Notamacropus eugenii: one gene and its partner. The protein of the gene in region 2 purifies or fractionates together with the protein of the main gene of each other region. This does not show direct contact. Links are inferred from orthologs where the notes say so. Each region holds a gene or a part of one and is shown on either strand. Other genes may lie near its edges.

What was found.
Region 1: the proteins of PTCH1 (region 2) and GRK2 purify together in Homo sapiens (affinity purification with western blotting; 3 studies listed by BioGRID and IntAct, with this or other methods). This does not show direct contact. The link is inferred for Notamacropus eugenii from reciprocal best matches to the Homo sapiens genes PTCH1 and GRK2.

The regions. Positions count from the first base shown.
Region 1 is NC_092873.1:19,722,108-19,729,515, forward strand, and holds the start of GRK2 (beta-adrenergic receptor kinase 1), read left to right. Parts: upstream 1-4,281; 5' UTR 4,282-4,296; coding exon 4,297-4,973; intron 4,974-7,408. UniProt on the Homo sapiens protein: Specifically phosphorylates the agonist-occupied form of the beta-adrenergic and closely related receptors, probably inducing a desensitization of them. Key regulator of LPAR1 signaling.
Region 2 is NC_092874.1:328,558,162-328,566,151, reverse strand, and holds the start of PTCH1 (protein patched homolog 1), read right to left. Parts: upstream 3,126-7,990; 5' UTR 1,313-3,125; coding exon 890-1,312; intron 1-889.

The DNA of each region.
Region 1 (7,408 bases), on a different chromosome or scaffold from region 2:
AAAAAATTCCCAATGGTTTTCTAAGGCAAAATGCCTGCCACACTCAGAGAAAAAACTATGGAATTCATTCGCAGAATGTAGCAGATCATGTTTGTGTGTGTGTGTGTGTGTGTGTATTATGTTTTGATTTGTTATATGATTTCTTCCATTTATTTTAGTTCGTCTACATAGCATGACTATCGTGAAAACATATTCAATAGGAAAGTATATGTAGATCCTATATAGAATTGTATGCTGTCTTGGGGAGGGAGAGGGGAGGAGGGGGGTAGGTGTGGAGGGGTTAAAATCTAAGTTTTATGGTAGTGATTGTAGAACACTAAAAAATAAAATAAAATTTTAAAAAATGCTGAGAAAAATAACTCCTTAAAAATCAGAATTGGTCAAATGAAATAAAAGAAGTATAAAACATCACTGAAGAAAATAACTCCTTAAAAACAAAATCAATCAAGTGGCAGTTAATGACTCCACAAGATATCCAGAAAGAATAAAACAAAATCAAAAGATTAAAAAAAAGGAGAAAAGTGTGAGATATCTCATTGGAAAAACAGCTGATTTAGAAAATAGACTGAGGAGAGATTACTTAGGAAGTATTGGATCCCATATGAAGCCCATGATCCACAGAGAGAAAGAGAGAGAGAGAGAGAGAGAGAGAGAGAGAGAGAGAGAGAGAGAGAGCCTAGACATCATATCTGAAGGAGTTATAAAGGGAAACTGTTCAGATATCACAAAGGGCAAAATAGAAATTGAAGAATTCACTGTTAACCTCTTGAAAAAAATCCCAAAATGAAAAGTCAGGAATGTTATAGCCAAATTCAAAGACTCCCAGTTCAAAGAGAAAATACCGAAAGCAGCCAGAAAGAAACAATTCAAATATCACAAAGCCACAGTCAGGCTCACACAAGATTTAGCAGCTTCCATGTTAAAGAAGTGGAGTATAATATTGGAATATATATAATATTGGAATATAATATTCCAGAGGACAAAGGAGCTAGAACTGTAACCAAGATTAACACAATCTTTCAGAGTTTGAAAAAAGGGATATTTAATGAAATAGAGTACCTTCAAGCATTCCTAATAAAAAGGCAAGACCTGAACAGAAAATCTGACATTCAAACAGAAGACTCAGGAGAAGTATAAAAAGGTAAAGATGAGTGAAAAATCACAAGGGACTTAACAAGGTTGAACTGTTTACATTCGTATATGGGAGAGTGACATATGTAACCTCTAAGAAGTTCATCATGAGTAGGGCAGTTAGGAGTCTACTTTGACAGAGGGTATAAATGTGAGTCTACTCTTCAAAAGAAGAATAGAAAGGTGAGAAAGAGGGATGAACTGGGAGAAAGGGGGAGGGAGGAGAATGGAGAAATGATCTCACATAAAAGAGGAATACAAGAAAGAGTTTTTACAATGGAGGGGAAAATGGGAGTGGGGGAATGGACTGTGGTTGAATGTCATTCTCATCTGATCTAGTTCAAAGAGAGGGAGCGAGGAAAGGATTGGGGAGAGAGATGTGTGTGTGTGTGTGTGTGTGTGTGTGTATGTGTGTATATACACACATACATACACACACACATATACATATGTTTATTTTTATACACTCACAGTTGGGCATAGAAATTCATTTTACCAACAAGGAAGTATGAGTGGATGGGGCTAAGAGAAATGGGGGGGGGGGTAAGAAGAAAGAGGATAGGATTAAGATAGGCAGTGACTTCAAACAAAACAGACTTTTAATGAGGGGGGAGGGGAAAAAGAGAATAAAAAGAAGAAAATAGGATGGAGTGAAATATACAGTTAGCAATTATAACTGTGAATGTGAATAGGATGAGTTCACTCATTAAATGGAAGAGAATGGATTAGAAACCAGAATCCAACAATATGTTTGTTGTTAACAAAAAACACACTTGAAACAGAAAGACTTACACAGATTTAAAATTAGAAGCTACAGCAGAATTTTACTATGCTTTGGTTGAATAAAAAAAGGCAACGTTAACAATCATGATCTAAGAAAAAGCAAAAGTAGATAATTAGAGAATCTAAATCTATCCCATATATATTAATAATATATAATAGACAATATCTAATAATCTAATTAAATAGATCTAAAGAGATAATCAAAGATATTGTATTTTGCTAAAAGTTACCATAGACAGTGAATTATAATAATACTGAACACAGAGGCACTAAATAGCAAAGAATCCAATTTTTTTCTTAATTTTTGGTTTGGTTTTTGAAGGATCCAAATTTTTGAAGGAAAAGTTAAATAAGTTACAGGAGAAAACAGTAAAACTATACTAATGGGAGGCCTTTTTGTATCCCTGGTACTTAGCATGCCTGCTTGTTGATGAGCTGATGAATGGATCCCGAGTATTTTTATTACCAAATTCAAACTCCTGTTTGATATTTAAAACCCCTCACAGACTCATTTTAACCTACCTTTCCATACTCTTAATCTGGACAAATACGTTGTCTTTCTATTTTTCATGAAGGACATTCTCTCTCCTGCCTGTTCCTTTCTATGGGCTGACTTCCATGCCTGGAATGTTCTTCCTCCTCTCGACTCTTTCACAGAATCTCAAGTTTTCTTCAAAGTTCAGTTCAAGCAAGACCTTTTACATCAAGCCTACCTGGATCCAGCCACCACCCCTCCCCACCCCCAACCCCACCTCCAGCTGAGAAAATCTACTTCCTAGTTATTTTGTATCATCTTTCCTGATCTAATAGAAGCTCCCTGAGGGGAGAGAGTCTTTATTTCTGCCTTTGTATTCCTGGTGTCTCGTAATAGTTGAATGAACAAGTATTTAAGTTTCTCCCACCCTGGACTAGGTCCCAGGATGCAAAACTAGCAAATGAAACATCCTGGGTTCTCAAAGGGCAAGGGCTTACATTCTAGTTTACTGATGGCTGGTTGTCTTGAAGGCCTGTCTTGGGGAGGAAGGAGTATGCTTGTTCTCCTTGGCTCCTGGAGGCAGAAGCAGGACTCATAAGTGGAAGTGGAGAAGTCAGATTTAGGCTTGATGTCAGGGAAAGGGAAAAGAAGGGAATAGGCATGTATTAAGCACCTCCTATGTACCAGGCACTGGGCTAAATATGTCATTCTGTCCTCCCAACAATCCTTCAAGGCAGGTGAGGCCCATTTTACAGGATGCATTGTCAGGATCGTTGTGTGGTGGTGACTCTGGAAGGTGTTAGCTTAAGATAACCTCCCCGTGAGCTCTCCGAGGTCTGACAGGCTGAAAAAGGCCGGCGGTGGCTCCCTCGGGGGTCCTCAGTCCATTATGACTATTTCCGGTTTATCCCGTCCGAGTCTGGTTTATACTTGGTTATCCGTCTCCCCTCCCCAATGAGCTTCGGTCTTCTGCCTTTCTGTGAATCCCCCAGTGCTTAGCCTAGTGCCTGGCACACAGTAGGTGATTGATTGGGGGCAGAGGGTGCCAAGATGCCCAGGTTTTTAGACTGCCTCTAAACACTCATCAGCGGTTGTCCGGCAGGGTGACTAAGGACAGGGATACCGGCCCCCCCTTGTCCCCTCAGTCCCTCTGTGCAGCGTGCTGGCCTGTGCGGGCGGCCCGCCCTCCCTAAGAGGACGGAGGCTCATCGAGGCCAGGCTACCCTCCTCCTCCAAGTATTTCCCATTCCTAGCACAGAGGGACTTGAGTTCAGGTTTGTGGGACTGAAACGGGCAGGTCTGGGGCCAGGGAGGTGGGGGGAGCCAGTGGGCCTGGAGCCCCAGGGCACGGCATGGAGGGCCAGGGCAAGATGGGGGGTTCCTGGGCCAGGGAGGCAGTCGGGGTGGGGAGGGGAGGCCGTCCATTGCCAAGGAACGTCTAAGAAGCGCCTACTATGTGCCAGGCAGGGCTAAGTTCCAGTGACAAGGCTCAGACAGCCAGGGCCAAGGTCTCGGAGATTCGAAGTCAGAATGGGGGGAGTCATGGGGGGCAGGGGGTACAAGCTGACTGACCCGGTTAGGGGCAGGTGGACACTGGGTAGTGCGGCCCTAGGGGGAGGTGTCGAGGTGCGGGAGGAGTGGGGGGAGGGTTCCCTGGGAGGGGGCGGGGTCTGGTGGGCAGCCCCTGGCAGGTGGGGGTCATATCTGCACAAGGAGGCACTCTGACGACACCCCTCCACCCCGGGCATCATTGGACGAGCCTACGTGGGCGGGGCCGGGGCGCGGAAGAAGAGGCGTTCTGGGGGCGGGGTTTACCCTAAGAGGGGACTGGGGGGAGGGATCGAGGCACTGTAGGGGGCGCTGTGGGGGGCGGAGGGCTGGGGGCGGGGCTTAGTCTGCAGCGGGCGATGCGAGTCAGACCTATCTCTTTAGGTAGGGGGCGCAGCTCTGGCTCTGCGCGCCCCCGCCCCTCCACAGCCGCCCCAGGGCGGACGCCGCGGACCCCGCCGGCAGGGGGCGCGGCGGCGCCCAGCGGGGGGCCGCGGCGGCGCACGACCTCGGCCGGCAGGGGGCGCAGCTCCTCGTCGGTGCGCTCCTTGTACTTGGCGCGGATCGGGGCCCCCCCCCAGTCGCCGCCCCCCCTCGCCCCGTGGCTGCTGCGGCGGCCGGGCCTGACGGGCGGGTGGTGCTCGGCTGCGCAGGCGGGGCCGGGGGCCGGAGCCGGAGCGGGGCAGGGGCCGGGGCCGCGGCGGGGCCGGAGCGGGAGCCGGAGGAGGCGGAGCAGCGGGCGCGGGCGTCATGGGGCGGCGCCGCCGCGTGTAGGCCGGGGCCGGGGCCGGGGCCGAGGCCGGGGCCGGGGAGGCCGGGCCGGGCCGCGGCGGGCGGAGGGCCTCGCCGTGCGGGGCGTGGAGGTCCAGGAGCGCCAGGGCAGCGGCGGCCAAGGCGGCCAGGGCGGCGAAGGGGGCTACAAGATGGCGGACCTGGAGGCCGTGCTGGCCGACGTGAGCTACCTGATGGCCATGGAGAAGAGCAAGGCCACGCCGGCGGCGCGGGCCAGCAAGAAGATCCTGCTGCCCGAGCCCAGGTGAGAGGCCCCGAAGCCCCCCCGGAAACCGACCCCGAGCCCCCCACCCCGAAACTGACCCTGAAACCCACCCTGAAACTGACCCTGAAATCTACCCTGAAACTGACCCTCAAACCCACCCTGAAACTGACCCTGAAATCTACCCTGAAACTGACCCTGAAACCCACCCTGAAACTGACCCTGAAACCCACCCTGAAACTGACCCTGAAATCTACCCTGAAACTGACCCTCAAACCCACCCTGAAACTGACCCTGAAACCCACCCTGAAACTGACCCTCAAACCCACCCTGAAACTGACCCTGAAACCCACCCTGAAACTGACCCTGAAACCCACCCTGAAACTGACCCTGAAATCTACCCTGAAACTGACCCTCAAACCCACCCTGAAACCGACTCCGAAACTGACCCTGCCAGAAAATGACCCTGAAACTTCCCCAGCCTGAAACTGAACCTAAACTTGGTCCCAGCCCCTAAGCTTAAGACTAACCCTGACACTAAACGTGGGACAGCCCTCAGAGCTCCCCCTCTCCTTCCATCCCTGACTGTCACCCTGGGCACCCCAGTGGCCTCGGCCGGACACTTGTCTCCTCCTGCTCTCCAGCAGTCCTTTCTTCTTCATGCCTGCCATCCCTCCCACCCCTCCTCCCCATACTGTCCATTCTGCGCTGCCCACAGGGTATCCCCAACTCATGCCGGCTCTGAGGCCTCATCTTTACTCCTCACACCTCCCCCGTGTCCATTTCAAACTTCTCATTGCCTAGCAACCCTTACCAATTTTCAGGCCCTTATTTCATCCCATAGACTCACCTAACCCCCCACCTGCCCCTCCAATCTTCTCCTTTCCTCTCATCCTCTCCCTCTCACCTCCAACACCCCACCCCCATGCTTACTCTGTCTGCTTATCACCTTTTTTCTCTTCTACTACGACTGTGATTTCTCCTCCTTAGACCCCTCTCTGTAACATACTCTCTCCCCTTTTACTATCAGTAATAAGTTCTTACTCTGGTTTGGCACTGAGATAAACGTTAGCGATACAAAGACAAAAGATAAAACCAGTTCCTGCCTTCAGGGAGTTTCCATTCTCATCTGGAGACAGTTTTCTGTTGGCCTGGCCCTGAACCTGTCCAGTTTCCCCCTGTCTTCCTATGCTTCTCCTACCCTCCTCAAAAATACCACTCACATCTTTGACTAGGACTTTCTCCTAATTCCTGCCTCTCCCTTCCCCACTAACCTTTGGCCAGAGATGGAATTTCAGCCAGTACTTTTGCTGAGGGATGACATTAAGGGGAGAAGACACATGTTTAGTGGCCTCTCTAGGGTACTTTCCACCTTGGAAGTTGATTTTGAGGATTTTGAGTCTGTCTTTCAACCAGAGGTGAAAGCCAAGGGGAATCTGTAGGGGATGGGATATGGCCAATGGTAAACAGCATTGTCGTCTCCCTCAGCCCCCAGACAGCTGGAGGGAGAGCCCCTTCCACTTGGGTGCCAGCAGGGAGTGTATAAATGCATAGCGTGGACCCAGATGCCATCTGTTCGTTACACTTGGGAGAAACACCCATGACGTCAGGCCTTCCCATATTCCTCCTCTGGCCTGGCTCCCCTGAGGTACCTAGAAGGGCCTGAGGTCTGCCTTGCCCTCCCTCCTGGACCATGTTTACAGTGGGACAGCTATGGCCTGATAATTCCATGTAGCAGCTGGGACACGGGTTACCCAAGGGGTGGCAGGTCCTTTCTGTCGTTTGTAAACTGAGAGCTTGGCCTGGTGCTTTGAGAGCCCATCCCAGATAATGGGGTGCCAGGGCCAGCAGGTTCCCTGGAGGGGGACAGCCTGCATGCACATGGAGTGTGTCTGGGTCAGGATTCCGAGGCATGAGCTCACTCTGGGTGTGACTATGTTTTCCTGGACCCTTGAGCGGGCTGGCTGGGTCAAAGTGAGAGTTGTGGGTGCCAGAGTCGGCCAGTGCTGAGCAGTGAGCCCCCCAGGCTGGCCCGTGGTACCCGCTCTCCTTTGCTCTCAGGGCATCTCCAGTCACTGGGTTTCAGATTGACTGAGTGTGGGGGACAGGAGAGGGGAATTTGCCTGCTGCTCATAAAGGCCCTTCCTTGGGGGCCCCTTTCTTTTCTGACTCTGGTGATCAGATTTCTGAAAACAGGAACTGGGGCTTACTGCGTGCGTGGTGCTACCCAGAGAGCACGGACAAGATGGGGCCCAGCAAGTTCAGAAATTGCCACGCTGGGGAAGGAGGAAGCTGGGGGAGCCCACAGCACTTGGAGTTCTTCGGGTGGGGACCCCAGAGGACCCAGAATGCACTAGGATCTGGCTGGATCCTGCTCAGGTGTAGGGAACCTGAGGGGCTGATCACTGCCTCTTCTCCTAGCTTCCCTTTTCTGGGACGGGAGTAAGCAAGGCCTCCTGCACTGTGGGAGAACCTGT
Region 2 (7,990 bases):
TCCCTTCTTGCTGAAGCATTTTAAAAAATCTGCTCTCTGAAAGGAAAATAACGTTTATGGAAAGGGAAATATCTGGGCGTTGTTTATTCTCGCAGATATTTCTTCTTCAGAATCAGTAACCGGGGATTCTCTCTGCTACAATATGTTTACACGGAATTCCTGGATTCCACACATTTCAGTAAGAGTAACGAACACAATGAACCCGGCGACTCAGTCAGACCTGCACCGCAGATTTAAGGTGGCAATTTGTTTACAACTTTCACTTTTCCTACGAGTTGGAGGTCAGGGTAAACCGGTCAAAAAGAAGAGAAGGGAAAATATCTTCTCCTCAAAGGCGATTTTTAAAGGATTTGAGATTTCACGCTTACTCAAAGCTTAACAAAAGCAAAACGGGCTGCCAAAAAAGGAAACCACCTTTATTTCTACCCCCTCCTCCTTCCTCTCCCCGCCTCCCTCCACCCCCACCCCCAAAATATGTTAAGAAATGTGGCAGCATTAGAGGAGAGAGAGAGAAAAGCCAACCTAGAGAAAGGATAGAGGGAGAGAGAGCCAGTACCAACCTTAAGTCTTTTTCTGGATTGGTTTAATGGGAGAATAATTCGAATGACCCAGAAAGTGTACACTAGACAGGGAGAGCACGTTACACAGTCACACACACACACACACACACACACACACACACACACTTCCACCCCCTGCATTAGTTAGACATCCCTTTCCTTCCAAAGCTGGTGGGTGTGTTTGGGTTTTTCATTTCCCCTAGTCTATTTCTTTATCCAAAAGAGGGGAGTGTGTGTATTCGTACGGGTGCTTCCAAAGAGAAAAAGGAGAAGATGGAAAGGGATGCGAGGGAAGTCCAGAAGGAGGGAAAAGAAATACAGAAATGCACCTTTGAAATCTGCTCCAACGCGAAAGCCGCATCGCAGTAGCTCGGCCGCTGCAGATACTCCAGGTCTGGTGCCCCGGCACGTCGGCTCCCCCCGGTCCTTCTCCGCCTCCTGCTGCCGTTTCCCCCAGGCAGACTGGGGTCTCTGCCGCAGCCTCCGCTGCCGCCGCCGCCGCCGCTCTCAGGCTCCGCAATGTTAACAGCTGAGGCCATGTTGCCGCCGCCGCCGCCGCGGTGACTGAGCTGCCCCTGCTGCTCCCGCATCAGGCGGGCTGGCTTGTCTCGGTTCCCCCACCACCACCACCACCACGGCGCGCTGCTGGAGCTGGCTGGTGATGCCGGGGAGTAGGCTCCGGAGGACGCTTCTTTCTGCGGGTGGCTCCGGCTTTTGCTGTGGTCGCTGCTGCTGCTGACAGACCTCCTCATACCGCGGGGGCTGCTGCTGCTGCTGCCGCTGCTGCTGTTGGAGAAGAGTCAGGACCTGTGCCTTCCATTGCAACATTTCGTGGTGATCCGGAGGTCTCTGCTGCGGCCGCTTCCCACATCCAGTTCGCGAAGAGGGTGAGAGGGATCCGTATGTGTGTGTGCGCGCACGGGGGGCGAGCCTCTCTCTTTCCTGCTTGCCCCCCCCTCCCCCCGGTGTCTCCTTCACCACCACCAAACAATCCCCACCGCCGCTTCCTTCGCTCCTTGTTTGCCCCCTTTTCCAGACCCTTTTACTTGGGAAAATGTGAGGAAACCCCCAGAGATCCCGCCACCGGGGCTTTCTCCCTCGGCTCCTTTTCTTGAGTTGGTTCTCCGGGAAGAAAGCAAAAAGCCACGGCAGAATCCGAGCTTCCTTTGCTCTTCTCAGTGCTGCTGGGGAGTTGCTGCTCCTGCTCTCGCTGGTGCTGCTGCTGGAGGCGGAGGCTGCTGCTGGGATTGCTCCTTCGACTCTGGCTCTGGCTTCTGCTCCTTGCCGACTCGCTGTACCATTCTGTTTCAGTGCAGCGCTGGTCTCTGACTCCCGGGACTTTGGGACTCCAGTCTGCGTGTGTGCAGCAAGCAGCAGCAGCTCCTTGATTCAATAGATGAGATGGAAGAAGAAAAAAAAGAACTCTCTCCATTTGGAGAAAGAGGAGGAGGAGGGGAGGGGGTGGAGGGGGAGAGAGCCAGCGAGAGAGAAAAAGGCTGGAGCTCCCGCCCCTGGGGCTGTCAGATGGCTAGGATTTCTGCGATGTGATTGGCTCAAGGAGGGCAGAAATTACTCAGCAAACATGACTATTATTAGCTGCTTAGCAACAGCTCACCAAAGTAGAGAGACCACCCAGGCAGGCAACCCTAGTGTGTGCATCCCCAGCTTCAAGGGGAGCCTTAAAGAGCTCCAACCTTCTTGCATGCAATACTTCCATTAAGGAATGCTCCCCCCTTCCTTTTCTTTTGAAAAGTGTCTTCTTTTTATGAGACGCTTTTTTTTGCACGCACACACACACACATACACACACACACACACACACACACACACACACACACCTCGCGATGTACAAAAAAAGTAATATTTTTTAAAGCGCTTAAAGAATTTCAGAAACTCCTAAAAAGAAAATCTATTCAGAGGCACCTTGGCCTCAAGCTGTAGCAAATACTGGGAGGTCCGACTTGAATTCCCAGGCTTGAACCAATAATGACAGGGTGGTGGATACCGAGGTAGTGCGTGCCAATTCCACCCCCCCCCCCCCCCCCCCGCCGCTTTCTTTTATAACTAAAAGGAAGACGGTCTCTCGCAAGAGAAATACGCCATACATTAAAGATAAACAAAACGGAAAGTTAAATAATACAACACAAGAACCTTAAAAAACAACAACCGCCTCCAAATCCCCTGCCTACACCAGCCCCCTCCCCCTAAACACTTACTATATTCAAGGAAGAAATTAGTGATTTATACTATAGCATCCAGACACCCGCAGCAATTGTATATGGGAGTTGGGGGGGGGGGGCTGTTTTTATTTGAATCTAAATGATCGCATAGTTTAAAAAGAGAGTCATTTGAAATTTTGGCAAAATTGAATTGTCTTATTTCCTTCAAAAGAAAAAAAGTTACTGCCACTCAGTTTGCTTCATTCTGACCCCCTTTTAGTACGCGTACATATTTATTTAAAGTCAGTTGCGAACTGACTTTTTAAAAAGCGGTACGCATCCTCTATATATTTAGTAATAGCGTGACGTAGGGAGGAATAAAGGCTTTGATGTTGAATTCATTCGAAACAAATTGTGCACTGACTGTAAGTACCCATCCCGACGCTTTAGCTAAGGTCACGAAGACATCCTAGGCTTTACTTTCCCATTGGGATAAATAGCCCCTTTTGGAAGCGTACATGGTTAATTTGCCAGCAGTAGGGGCTTGCCTTGCAAAATGTCTCAGAAACTAGGCTGGCTCGACCGCTTTTTTTTTTTTTTAAGAACGTGGGTGGGATTTTTGGTGTTTGTTTTTGTTTTCCCCCTTAGCTTTGCAAGTTATGAAATTTCTCCCCGCAGTGGCGATCAGGGCACTAGCTTCTTTTTTTTTAAACTCGACTGCATTGCGAGGAAACTAGCGGGATGTTGTGCTGATGGAGGCAGCGAAATAGGGGAGTGTTGCTTTAAGGTGCACTCGGTGTGTGTTCATTGAAAAAAAAGAAGAAAGAAAGGAAAGGAGAGAAAAGAAAGAACCCCAGATGGAGGGAAAGTAGGAGGGGCGGGGATGAAGAGGGGGAGGGGGCGAGGCAGCGGGGAGGTGGAGTCTGGGCGAGGCCACGTGACCAACGAGCCGGGAGCTGAGCCCCAGTCCTCTGGAGCTGCTGCAGATCTACCAGCTCCCCTGCCTGGGGGTGCGTGCGTGCGTGCGTGTCCAAGCGTGAGGAGGCGGGGGGCTGGGGGTGGAGGGAACTCACGCCGCTGGACAGGCAAGTGACAAGGCAGGAGCGGAAAGGGAGAGTACCCTCGCTGCCTGCCCGGCTTTGGGATTCACCCAGTCGGGGCACGTCCATCGGGATTTTCATTACTCTTTTCCTTCCTCCTTCCTTTTCCCTCCCCGCTCCAAGGAGTTCGTGTCGTTAAGAAGCCGGAGGAAAAAGGGGAAGGCTGCCCCTCCCACCCCAGTTATGCGCCGCTGCCGGTGCCGAAAGGCATGCCAGACAAGCCATAGTACATTCCTAAAGGAGGTCTCTTCCCCCTTTACGTTACCCAATACCAACGAGGCTTGACTACTACCGGCCAATAGCAGCAAAGAAAGGAAACATTTCCATTCAATTCTGCCCCAAGTCTTGGAAGATGTCACGGGCTGCCGGCCGGTGGAGAGACAAGCCCGCTGATTCCAGCGCACGCGGCTCTGGCAGAAAGAATCCGGCGCCTTCCTTCAGTTCCTAGGATGTCTCAGTGCCACTCCTTCCCTCTTTTCTTTCTCTTCCTCCTTACTGATGCATAGCTTTCTCTTTTTCATCTTTCCCTAACTCGTTTTCTTGCATTTCTTTGTATTTCCAGCGCTTTGTACAGTGCTGAGCACATAGGTTTAAAAACTGCTTGTTGACGTCTCTCTCTCTCTCTCTCTCTCCTCTCTCTCCCTCTCTCTCCCTATCCCTCCTTTCTTTCCTTTGCCTTTCATCTTTTCCCCCATCCTCTTCCTAGACCCCATTTCTTCCTTCCTTCCTTCCTTCCTTCCTTCCTTCCTTCCTTCCTTCTTTCCTTCCTTCCTTCCTTCCTTCCTTCCTTCCTTCCTTCCTTCCTTCTTTCTTTCCTTCCTTCTTTCCTTCTTTCTTTCCTTTTCTCCCCTTTCCTTCCTCTAATTTACTCTTGGAACCAGTTTTTCTTTCTTCCTCAGTCATAGTCCTGACCCAGAAGAGGTAGAAGGAAACCTCACTTATAAGAAGGGCTTTCACAAAGTGACACTCTCAAAGATGAGATGGGGCACAGATGTACGTGGGCGGTTTCATATCATAAAAGGAAGAGTAGCCAGGCAGCCGGGAAATTTAAAATTGAATGTCTTAACTGGGACATCATTTTAGTATGTGGCAATTCACTGTAGATGTAGGCATTATCTACAACAAGACCTCTTAAAAAGCCAGTATGATCAAACAGTGTAAATAAAAGACAGAATAGTGTTGGAACTAAACAGGATTGCAGGAAGTTTTGTATTAATACATGACAAAGCTGTAATATGAAAAATTAATCTTATAGTGAAAATTGCTTTTAAAATCTGAGAAGCACCATCAAATTGTATTGATGTCACATACTGTATGAGCCAGCCAAGATTTCAGGTTATATTAAGAAGTGCTCAGTGTACATTTTCAATAACTTCTGTCAATGTTGAGGCTATCTCTCATTTCGACTCATTTATAGGAGAGGACCATATATTTAGAGCTGGAAGATACTTCAAAGCTCTTAGTTTTACAGATGCCCAGAGAGGTTGTGACTTGCCCAAGGTCCTAATGGTAAGTAACAGAGCTAATACAGATTGTTAGGACAATCAGATGTTACCACATACGTATAAGAGTGTAGAGGTTTGCATGTTTCTTCAGCTGCTGAAGATAAAGCAACTATATCATAAATCACATTTCAAATTCTTAAAATTTTTGTATCAAAATTTTTGTCTGAATGTTATCTCATTGATCATTTAAGTTAATATTCATTGTTTCTTAATGTTGTTTAATATTTAGAGTACCACACTCAAGGAAGATATGGTAGTGAATATTAGTTCATTTTTACATGGAAGAAACATTCTTCTGCTTCTACACTGGTATCCTTTCAAGAGTAAGATGTCATCCTTCCATGTTAATTTCATTCAGTCTTACTTTATTTCGAAATACTTTGAATATTGATGCCTGAAGTTTAAAATACATGACGCCTTTCTACCACCCCTCTTTGCCTCCTGTTTGATAGGTTAACTTTTCATGATCTTAGACAATGCCCTGCTGGTATATTCTTCTCACTGGTTCCCAAACTCAATCTGGAACCTCAGATTTAACAAGCACTATCTTAATCTCTCTCCCATCCCTTCCCTTCTCTTCTCCCCCTGTGGTCTGCTTTTTTCATACACAAGAGATGAATTACTTTGGGGATCTAATTGGCCTGGTTTCTGCAATGTTTTTTAAAAAGGAAGAGGTGCCAGTGTAAAAGCCTGTCTCAACATGGGTGGTCAGGGCTGAGGCTGCCCCCAATTTGCCTCATTGCTGATGCATGCGAGTGCTACATTCCCAGCGATAATGTTGTTCTTAATCAATCTGCCCTTATTTACATTTGTAAGCATTGTTGGCTTTAATATGCATGCCCTGTGCATGTAACTGCTGCTCGACACCAGGTTTTGTTAACTTCAACTAATCACAAGGATCCCACAGACCTGATATGGAGCTGGTTTGGATGAACAGGGCCTGCTAAGGTGTCTCTCAGTGAGAGTCCTTGAAGAATAGCCTTTATTCCTTAGCTTCCCTTGTAGATCTGTCAAACACGTGATCACTTGAGACCTTGTGGACTGGCAGAACTTTTCAGTATAGATGAAGAAACATCTGATTTGCCTCCTTTCATATTCCTTTTAGACCATATTTCAATACATGGGTTAACTTTTCTTCCCTTGTGGTCCAAAGACTTCAGTTAAATTCTGTGAACTGAAGAATCCCTCCTTGTGTTTCATTCCCCCTTTCTCTGTTCTAACACTTTAACTTCCCATGGTCCTACAACACAGTTCTGAAATCTACATTTGATTATCCAAATTCAATAGGACATGGACAACAAAACGCCTGGCCTCTGTGTTTGAATATTACAGAGTGAAGTGAGCAAAGCAAGATATAGCTAAATAGAGGAACAGAACAGAGTATGGTTATGAACCCCCGAATGATCTTCCAGTTACCTTTTGGAATGTTGTTCCCTCCTTACTCTTTGGATGTTCAATGTAACCCTTGGACTTCAATACTTGATAACGTGGTGTTTGTATGATACCATAAGCTGCCTTTTGTGTAATGCCATCCATGTAAACAACATATGAATAAGTATGCCCAATGCATTTGTCTTATAATTCACAGTTTTCAGTATGAATTTCATTTGCTTAATTTCAACCATCTCTAACCTAATAAAATGCAATAGTAATACTTTGCTTTTTATATTGCATTTACTTTTCAGAAATGCAAAGAACTTTTGACGTAACACACTACTCCTTACAATATTGCTGTCAGTTTCACAGGGCATAGTAATAGCATAATTTCGGTTTGTAGACGATAAAACAAATACAAACGTCCAGTGAGTTGCCCAAGGACAGAAAATGAGTTTAGGCGTTGAGATGTCTCAAACAGATCCCAGGAGTCTTGACAATCTAGTGTTCCACTATTTGCTGCATTTCTTGCTCCTTAACAATGCCATATTATCTCCTTATAAATGTTTGTGTATTTCCTTACAAGTTCTCTTGAAGGAATTGAAAGGTGGAGCCTAGAGACAGAAATTAGACCAAATGGTTCTAAAAAGTTTCAGGGTTGAGAAAAGAAAGTATTCAGCTGCCATAGAATCTCAAGACACTGGGCTTGACCTCCTTCTCCCTCCCCCACTCTCTTTTCCTCTACTTACCCCCTCCCCTTCTCCCCCTGCTCAGGGATGTAAGAAAGGGAACAGCTCGACCCAACTTGTCAAAATAATGCTGCTAATTACCCCTGATCTCCTTTAATGGGAAGCTGCCCCAAACTCTACAAAGGAGTAAAAGAGAGATCTACAGCACAAACCCAGGAGCATTGGCATTTATTGAGCTCCCAGAGAGGGGTGGGGGGTAGAGAAATGTCCCACCAGCATCCCAGATATCTCCGCATTCATCAGACCAAGGTTATTAGTGAAGGCACCCCAAATATTAAAATGTAGTGGGAATTATACTTCCTGCAGTAGCCACAATGGCAGGGAATTCAAGACTGCTGAAGATCTCATCAGCTGCAATAAGGCTTGTCCACAAAGCAGTTTTGAATAAAACACAGAAATGATTGTGGTGTGGGTGTTTTTTTCTCTTGCGGAATATCTTTCTGACTCTGTTACTTTGATGTATTTGGAGTCATTATTGAATGCAACCAGAACAAAATATAGATTCAGATATTGAAACTGATATATGTATAGATATTTATATAG